Linked DNA regions of Drosophila melanogaster. The protein of the gene in region 1 purifies or fractionates together with the protein of each later gene. This does not show direct contact. Each region holds a gene or a part of one and is shown on either strand. Other genes may lie near its edges. The genes, in order: Dlish and app.

Region 1 (4,384 bases):
TTTTCCGCCCCGGAGCTGGCATTCTACCCCATTTTCCGCCTCATTCCTCTTAATTTGGCCCGCTGTCTAGTCTCATTTTTTGGCCATCAGAGGTCCGAGCAACAATTACCCGCAGACACAACAGCCATGATGAGTGTGCTGGGCGAGGAGCACCCACTCGATTCGCCCACCCAACCACCTCCTGCCCCGCCCACTGGCCGCCCCTTTTTGTGAATGGCATCCGAGGAGTGGAGGACTGCGCAGAATCCTCTCTATCGATTAAAGCCCAACGCAGACAGCTCTCTCTAATAAAACTTGGGATAGGGCATGGGGATGGGTTTCTGGGATGTGCGATGTGGGCTGTGGGATGGATGATGTGATGCGGATGTGGAATCAACTGCGTAGTAGTCAAAAGTCAAGTTGAAGGGGGTCTTTTGGGGGTGTGGCACCTGCTGCTGATGCTGCCACGCCACTGCTGCTGGTGGGATAATGTTCGAGATGCTTAATGCGCAATTTAGTTTGGGGTATGTGCACATGGGGATACGACGAAGTGTAGGTCAGTTTGGACACTTTCTCTCTTTGGACCCATCCTCTCTTGCTGAGACTCTTTGTTTCCTTGCCCTTTCCATCGAAATTCTCTCGCTGAATTATAATCGAAAATTGCATGCGAAAGTTTTATCCTTGGCACCAAAATAGTGCATTGGCCCCTCTTTTTTCAATGCTGTCCAATAGCGCAAGTGACGCTCGCTAAGAATGACGAGGTCTCAGTGGGGCAGAGGGTTTTAAATGCACTCTGAATTAAATGTATATATTATGTTTATACTACTAAAAGTATTGCTTAAAAAATCCAGATATCTCTAACCTATTATGTTCTATTACATTACAAAATTCACATATATTTGGACTTTTAGTTACATCACTATAATACAATATAAAGTTTTAAATAGAGCTCAGTAGACTTTGGATATACAGCCATTACTATCTAGTAAAGTAACACCTTCCAAACACAATTCATAGCGCCTGGAGCTAACTCAAATCTATCATTCGTTCACATTTTGTATACGACTAAAATGGTGGTTGTACAGGGAATGTACGAAGTCACGGAGCTGGTGGCTGGCAGCGTGGGATGCGTGTGTCTATACATCGCCGGATGCAATGTGCTGCCCATGGAGCATATTCCCGATCTTCCGTCGGCGCTGTTCGTCCTGACCGCCGTGCTTTTTCTCCATCATCTGAGGGTAATGAATTGCGCACCGCTGCAGAAGCTTTGGCTTTTGCTGCTGGAACTGTTGGTCTTCTATATGTGCACCCAGGTCGTGGTGCTTGTGTGGCTCCAGTTGCTCAGCCATATGAATAAACTGCGGGACAATGCAGTTAATACTCGTACCGGCATGTACCTTTTTGAAGCCTATCCAAAAGTCTTTATGTTTTTGCGCCAAGATGTCTACTATTTGGGGCAGCTTATCATGTCCGTGGCGTGCACCTACAAGGCGATAATGGTCACTCATGCCCTGGACTACGCCCTACCAAATCGCCGGACGTACAGATACTATGAGACAGATGAGAACTTAGGCGATGGTCCGCGGCGTCCTACCCGAAAGAGCAACCAGCGATCAACACCCAAGAAGAGCACCGTGCGTGGTCGCAAAAAATAGAAGCTGTCGCAGAAACTGGATCAATCAAATCGCCCAATCTAAACACAGTTTTTCTATGCTTTCGATCATTGAATTAGCCCACAAAACACGCGTAATAAATTATCAAGGTAAACGGCGGCCCGGGTGCATTGCACCCAAATCGAAGGTGCTGCTCAAGAGCAGTTTACGCTTTACTAGAAATTTGCATGCTTGAAAGAGCAGAGCCAACACGTACACACAAAACCAACTTATTTTCAAATTTTGGCGCCTCGCGACAATCGATTAACGGACAACATCATCAAGATCAGCCAATCGTATGAATTCCACCTCTAACACCAGAGAATATTGAGAAGAAGAAGAGCGTTGTGTCGGATCTAAACAATAAAGAAATTAAGCAATTAGCCGAAATTTTGTTGTTTTTCGGTTGAAGGGGGTTTAATTCCGAGTGGGGGGAAGAGATGGCATTTCTTTGCCCCGTGCGCATGAGGCGCGACAAGAAGAAAGGTGTGTTCATAGAAAGCGGAAGAAGCAGCACGGAAACAAAAGACTTCAATCACGAACTTGTTGTAGGAACTTAAAAAAATTGAAATTGTTTAAATCTGTTTATTGGTGCATTTATTTTGTATATCAATGTACAAGAATTCTTTTTGAATTAAATATTTGTATTCAAGTTTTTTTTCTTGAAACTATATTATGATTGAATGCATAAGATATACATTTTATTTTAAATTTAATTAAATACGACATATATTGTACCTAAATAAGCATTTTCAAAATACTCCCTTTTCAGCTACAAATGCCAGCATTGAGAGGGACTTACCAGCTGTGGGTGTATTGGGCATGGGCCGCATAACTGGTTCCTCCAGCATTGAAACACTTGTAAGAGTGGGCATTGAAAAGGAACACGGTCTAAGGTAAGTCGATCCCATCCATTATCAGTTTAAATAGTCTGTACAATATTAATTCTATTTTAGTCCTGATTCCAAGATGGTTGTGCTGCACGACTTTACTCCTTGCGTGGATGATGAACTAGAGGTGAAGCGTGGACAGCTGGTTAATATCTTGTACAGAGAGAACGATTGGGTCTACGTGATTGGTCAGGACTCTAGGCAGGAGGGTTTCATACCCTTCTCTTATTGTGCTCCCTGCAACACGCAACTGGCGGATTTGGCTGTTAAGAAGAAACTGCCAAGGGAACAGTGTCCAGAGCAGCCGATCGAAGAGAATATACCACTTTTGGGCACGGATAACAAGCTGGATGTTCTTTGCGATGAAACCTTGAATCCTGGCTCCGCCAACAGCATAGAGAACACCCTGCTGGTGGAGCCAGAGTGTACTCCTTTCGTGAAGGAACCCTCCGGGCGCTGTATCGTCTTGTACACCTTTATAGCCAGGGACGAGAATGATTTGTCTGTGGAACGGGGTGAATTTGTTACCGTGCTAAATCGCGAGGATCCCGATTGGTTTTGGATAATGCGCAGTGATGGCCAGGAAGGATTTGTGCCAGCCAGCTTTATTTATCCTGCAGACAGTGTACGAGTTTTGCAGCAACAGAAAGCCACTTTAAATGCCATGGAGACCATTTTGCAGCAGGGTCAACAAGGTCAGCAGAGCCAGCAACAGCAGCAGCCTCAATTGGGCTTGGGAACAGATGATCTACGCTACCATGGCACGGAGCTGGTGATGCTGTATGATTACAAAGCGCAAGCTCCAGACGATCTGTACCTTTCTGTGCGGAGAGGAGATTGGATTTACGCAGACTTAACCAATCAGACTGTTGATGGCTGGCTTTGGGCTTATGCTCCGAAAACCCGCAAATATGGATTCATCCCGAAAGCCTATGCCCGACCACCCGCGATGACCAGCCTTTAAGAAATAGATTCAATACCATAATCGTTTTAATTATCACTTCGACTAACACTAAAGCGTAATATTCGTAAGTCTTCCAAACACAGTCGAATTGCATTTCGAAAAGCGTTTCTTTGTGGCTTGGATATTTTTATCTTGAACACTAAATTAATTTTCAACTCATAAATGCCATTTTCATTGAGTAATAAATTGTGCCTTAGATTTATTTTGTATGTGAGTTTGCATAACATATCGTATACACTTAGTCTAGTGATTTCATTCTTAACTGTAAGTGCCTCGTAAACGAATATCAAAAATATCTACTATCGTATTCCATATAGTACCAGCGTGGGCAGCACTTTGCTAGCATCTAGGTCTAGATATGAATACTAAAGCACTGTAGGGGCCAACCCCTCGATATGCACTTGGTTTGTATTATTGTATTGGATTTGCATCCAAGCGGCGCAGTTGCGTAGAGTTATGCTCAGCATAATGTTGTACGCACACGCACGTCCAACTGGATTTTGGTTATCACCTCCGATTGGCGAAGGTCTACTTTATTCCCAAACTGTCGCTAGCTGAGGAGCAGTGCGAGCAATTAAGCTCCATATTTCTGTAGAGAGAGATTGGCTAATGAGATTTTTGCATTTGTAAAAGAAATTGTTATCCTACTTCATAGCTTCTCTCAGCTGCTCCTTCTCGTTCATCTCCTCGCGCAGTTTCTGCTGCAAACTGAGAATGAGATCGTTTTTATTTCGAATCTGCAGCTTCAGATGCTCAATTGTCTCCTCCTGAGCTTCGAAAATTGCCTAGAAGTAAATGAAATCTTATATAGATTTGATAAATACATGAAAAAGAAATCATCCTACACGACACTCCTCCATGGATTCAGAGTACGAAGGCGGCTCGTCCAGGCAGAAGAA
Region 2 (5,107 bases), on another chromosome or scaffold:
CGCCTTTTGCTTTTTGGACTGCGAACGGGAGCTGGCATTACTGGAGTAATTGGAACTGGAGGCGGTGGTGGTGGGCGTGGAGTTCGAGGGTTCGGTGGTACTGGAATCGGCGGACTTGGCCAGGGGCATCTCTGCACTCACCGCCTCTTCGCTGGCGCAGTTGATGGTCAGGCTGGCTATGTTGCGCAGATTGATCGTGCCATTGCAATTGTTGATTGTGATTTTTGGCTTGAAGCGCTGTTTGCGACCCTTGCATTTCGGTGGTTCTTGTACGCTGCTCTTTGATTTGGCAGAGGTTTCTCGCCCCAAGCTGGAAACGGCTTCGGCAATCGAAGATTCCAACTCGTCATCCAGCTCCTCCAAGTTTAAGGGCGGCACATATGTATCCCTCTTGATCTTGGCCTTTTTTATCAGATCCTTTGCCTCCTGCAGTGTAATGTTGATAATGGAGCGCTTGGCATTATCTTCGACGAGACTTCTGTTGCGAGAGAAGTCGACCACAATGGCCTCTGGTGGGGCACCGTCTTCGTCCAGATCGAGATACGATACTTGCCCATCCTGCAGGCACTTGTACATGGTCTCGTGGTCATCTAGTGGCTCTATGTAGTCCTCGTTCCTCAAACCCGTGGTGCGGTAATCCTGCAGCGCCAACTGCATATCACTGTTGTCCAGCAGAAAGTGTCCGTAGCTTCGGATGGCTGTCAGTAGTTTCTCCTCCGCATCCTCGCTTTCCCCGGGAATGAAACGCACACCACTTTGATCTTTCTTGCCAACCGAGTTCGAGTTCTCCATTTCGGTGGGCGACTTCTTCAGCAGCTGCTGCTGCTGTCGCGTGTTCGCTATGACCTCCAGTTGCCGGAGCAGCAACTTCTCGCGCATATGCAACGCAGCACGGATTTCATTGAACTTCTTTTGTACGGTGTCTTTGACCTGGGCGATGAAAAATTGGGGCGTGTATCAGTAAACAGCAGTCAAAACACACAGTCCATTCGGTTTTAGGGGGCTGAATATAAAAAAAGGAGAGTACAAACACAAACCTCATCCAGATTCTTGTCCATTTCGTGCGTGCTACTAAATACTTTCTCCTTTCTAAACGCTGCGCATTTTTTTTCATAAATTCCTGTGTATCAATATTTTTTGTTTGATCGATCAGCTGAGTTGCGGAGTGCCCGCCGCTTTTAGCTAATAAAAAACCAGAGGCTCACAAGGACTGGTACTTGTAACTGGTCACACTTTACATTTGGCGGGAAAATTGAATTTGCAAGTTTGATAAGAACATATTTCATATTAAGTATTATTTTGGCTTTATGCCAAAGATTCTGGTAAAGTTGTATTTAGTAAAAACACTTTCATATTCCTCATTAACGATCTTTCTGTTTTACTACAAAAGCACAAGCAAAATCTAGCAAAATAATATAGGCAGCTCTTTAAAATTGATGAAAGGCTTTGTGTTTTATTTATTAAATTATTTAATTATTATTTATTTATTTAAATTATTTAAAATATTTTGCCGGGTTGTTCAAACTTTTAACGTTAGCGGAAGTGCAAGCGCTGCCACCTTGTTGCTGCGCTTAACAGAGAGATCATACTTATACCGCTACGACACTACATTGTGGAGTCCAGTACAATGGAAGGAATTGGGTTTTAAGATTTCAAAAGTCTGAATTGTTAGGGCAAACAATAAGCACAAAATTCCAGAGATGAACTAGTTTATGATTAATTAAGCTCTTTAGAAGCATATTAATTTATATATCAAATGTAGTGGTGTCACAAGCACTTGAGCGGCTTAAAAGTGTGTGACCGTATGGCAACAGTAGAACAATCCACATTACAGAGCTCTGTTAGCATTGCAGAAGTGTTTTAACACACCCGAAATTCGGACACACCGTCGTCAGTTTGTTTTCATTTCAACTTTGCGTCGGGTTCACTCCAATTTTCGCACCGGAGGCGCGCATTTCAATTAAATTCGGGAGAGCGCTGAATGCGCACGCTGTTTCCCTAAAAGTTCAAATATTTAAAGACGAAAAACATTGGTAAATTATTTTGGTTATCCTATAAAAAAAATAAAAGATTCGCACTTGTGTTGAAAATACATCGGTAAATCCGATAAATCGCCGGGAAAATATGAAGAGATTTTGGCGCTAAATGTGTTCAAAAACAACTATTAATATAAACGTTTTTAAAATATTGTTGTGTGTAAAAATATAGATTGAAGAATTGACGTTCAAAAGCAAAAGCAAAACAAATCGAAAATCACCGCTTCCACGTATTTCTCAGCTGTCTTTGTCTTTGGCTCTGCCGTCTCTTTTCCACACGTCGCGGCGCCCTCAAGTGTTTGGTTTTGTAATTGCCTTTGCTTCGCGAAACTGTGCTGATTTAAATGTTTTTTTATGTACCGTTCTTAAAGTATTATTTCCCCAAATGCAGTTGAAACATAACAATTGTCGCGTGGCTTTTGCAGCGATGAGCAGAGAGAAAAAAGCAGCCGTGTTTAAATAACAATAGTCATCGCTTATTGTTGTTGCCCCAACTAATTTGAACTGTGCATGTGTGTGCGAGTCTGATTGTGCTTGTGTGAGAAGGCGCGTTGGCGTTTGTTGTTGTTGTTTTTTCTTTGCTCAGCAGCTCAGCACAAAAAATCCGAATGAAAGAAATATTCAGAGAATTTTGAGTTTGTTTCTCGTTCTTCCTGCCAAAGAGAGAGAAGCATAAAAAGAAGCAACAAACAAGACAAAACAATAAAAAAAAATCAAGGGAAACACAACACACATGCAAAGCAACAAAAGAAAAGGCAAATAAAAGAGAGCGAGAGAGCGCGAATTGTGTCAGTGACGCCAAAAAATTTAAAAATATCAATAATGCCCACCAGTGTTTTATTTTCGTTTCGCCAAACGGTTTATAATTAATTAACTGCAACTATATTTAATTGGTTTTGTGTCGGCATAGTTTTTATTGCTCTTTCGATTGTGTTTCCGCTGCATTTGCCGTCGTTCTGCCTTTGCGATTGCGAGACTGTCTTTGCAAATTGTCTTTGCGTCGGCGGGTCGTGACTGGATTCCATTGAATATTTTACAAACAGATGATGCATGTGGTTGTGTACGTATGTTTGTTTGTTTGTCGCCTTTAAAACCACATGTGCTTGGGTTGATTTCCTTAAAAATATGCTCTATAGGAATACAGTTAGTTGCTGCTTTTCGCTTTCTTGACTAGCATTTTTTTTATCGCGTCTAGCTTTCCGGTTTTTCCCTTTTCTCTCCCCTTTTTTTTAGTTCCATCTTGTTATCATCGCTAAAAACCTGTTTTGTTTTGTTTTTTTTTTTTTTTTACTTTTTTTTACCTGGTCTCCGGGTTTTTAAATTCGAAATTACCTCATTTTACACCTCAATCGCGGGGTGCTTTTCATTTAGTCGCTGCGACTAACCCACTAAATTGAATCATTTTTATTTCACCCGGATTTGTAGGTCGTCGAAATGTTGTTACACTTTCGGCGATTTCAAGATATCGCGTAAATATTTATCAGAAACGAAAATTCAGAAGTGTAAATATGCGATTATTGAAATCAAGTCTATAAACATCCACAACTGAGCCACCAAAAATTGTTTATTTTCCTGGAATTTTTACCTGTTTAGGGAAAGCAATAAAATGCGCAAGTAAACATGTAATATATAAATATGAAATATGTATATTTTAATGTACAGCAAATATCCGCAAAATTGACTTATTAATTAAATATAAAACTAGCATTGAAAATATTAAATATTCCAACATTGAAAACAGCACAGTTATAACACCTTAACTACAAAGTAAACTCGACAACCAAATGAAGACAAACCAATATCTACTGTATATTATTTTAAAAACTGTATAATCCACAACTATTTTAACCGAAAATCTGTAAAAAGAAGTCCATTAAACTATATTTTCGTGAAATTAACGCGTGTAATCGAAAAGCATTCGAGTACTTAATCATCATCGAAGGCGAATGTCGAAAAGTGTTCCGAGGTCAATGTTTCTGTTTCTGCTGCTGGCAACTCATCGCCTAAATTAAGTACACAATCTGCAGCGAGGTGAGTTTTATTCAGATATATATATATATATTACATACTACACCCCTGACCCTGGCCCCACTTATTTTGGAGTATTTCGAAATGCCTCCCACTTGTATTTGCTGCCCCATTGAGAGTTACTCGTAACTCCCTCTATATTTGTATATTTACCACTATACCACTATCTGTCTGCGAATCGTGTGAAATTGTGTGAAATACTTGCGATATTGTCGACATTGTGCGATGAGTAAGTTCAATACAAGTGGGCTAAGTACACACACAAAGCAACTTGAATGGAGACGCTAAACATTTTCTACATACTAACTAAAGCAAATACATCAAATGAACTACGCAATTATTTGCCTGGTAATATCAATAGGCTAATTTTTATAGGACTTCAACATTTTCACATCAGCTTTCTTCATGAAAATTTTGAAAACTTGCCTAAACATCGTGAATGCTGATTTACTATCAATGTTGCTATCAATCTCGAACTTTATTAATACTCAGTTTTTATATATGTTTCACTTCTTATCGAATCAAGATTGCCATGTCAGATAACTTACTTAACTTTTCTAGACATTGAACATTATTTTTTAGGTTCAAGGGAGAGTTCTATGTACTTATAAGTAAGGCATTAATTATGTAAATTAATAAATGATGTATCCACAGTATTTATTTGTTAATGCTCGAGCAAATAAAAGTCGTTAATAAATTCCATTTCGCAAATAATGAGCTCAGCAAGCATTTAACTCTTAATTTTTTTTTATTTATCATTCGATTTCTGTTGCGAAAATTGCAATATTCGGTTGATTTACGTTAATTTTGCATCTTTGTTGCCGTCGATAATTAATGCATATTAACTGCACTTAACGCGACATGGCGACAGTATACATAGGTATTCCTTTTGTTCGAATTGTTTTAATAGGTTCATTTCGACACGCGTAATAGAGTTCCCATCGAAGATGCGTTGAATTGCATTGAGTGGCAATTATTAAATTTACTGTAATTGCTAGTTACAATGCAATTAATCAAATCCCCCGAATCGATTGAAATCGAAA

Evidence for each region.
Region 2: the proteins of Dlish (region 1) and app purify together in Drosophila melanogaster (affinity purification with western blotting; one study listed by BioGRID). This does not show direct contact.

The regions. Positions count from the first base shown.
Region 1 is NT_033778.4:17,721,369-17,725,752, forward strand, and holds Dlish (dachs ligand with SH3s), read left to right. Parts: upstream 1-1,940; 5' UTR 1,941-2,071; coding exon 2,072-2,117; intron 2,118-2,403; coding exon 2,404-2,527; intron 2,528-2,587; coding exon 2,588-3,485; 3' UTR 3,486-3,688; downstream 3,689-4,384. Other genes in the region: CG10934 (uncharacterized protein), read left to right, coding at 1,050-1,634; Snx16 (sorting nexin 16), read right to left, coding at 4,014-4,074, 4,134-4,270, 4,331-4,384. UniProt on the Drosophila melanogaster protein: Required for the apical cell cortex localization, total cellular level and full activity of dachs.
Region 2 is NT_037436.4:12,263,581-12,268,687, reverse strand, and holds the start of app (approximated), read left to right. Parts: upstream 1-1,846; 5' UTR 1,847-2,033; intron 2,034-2,941; exon of another isoform or gene 2,942-3,096; intron 3,097-3,777; 5' UTR 3,778-4,067; intron 4,068-5,107. Other genes in the region: CG32100 (uncharacterized protein), read right to left, coding at 1-930, 1,038-1,058. UniProt on the Drosophila melanogaster protein: Palmitoylates Dlish which is required for the apical cell cortex localization, total cellular level and full activity of dachs.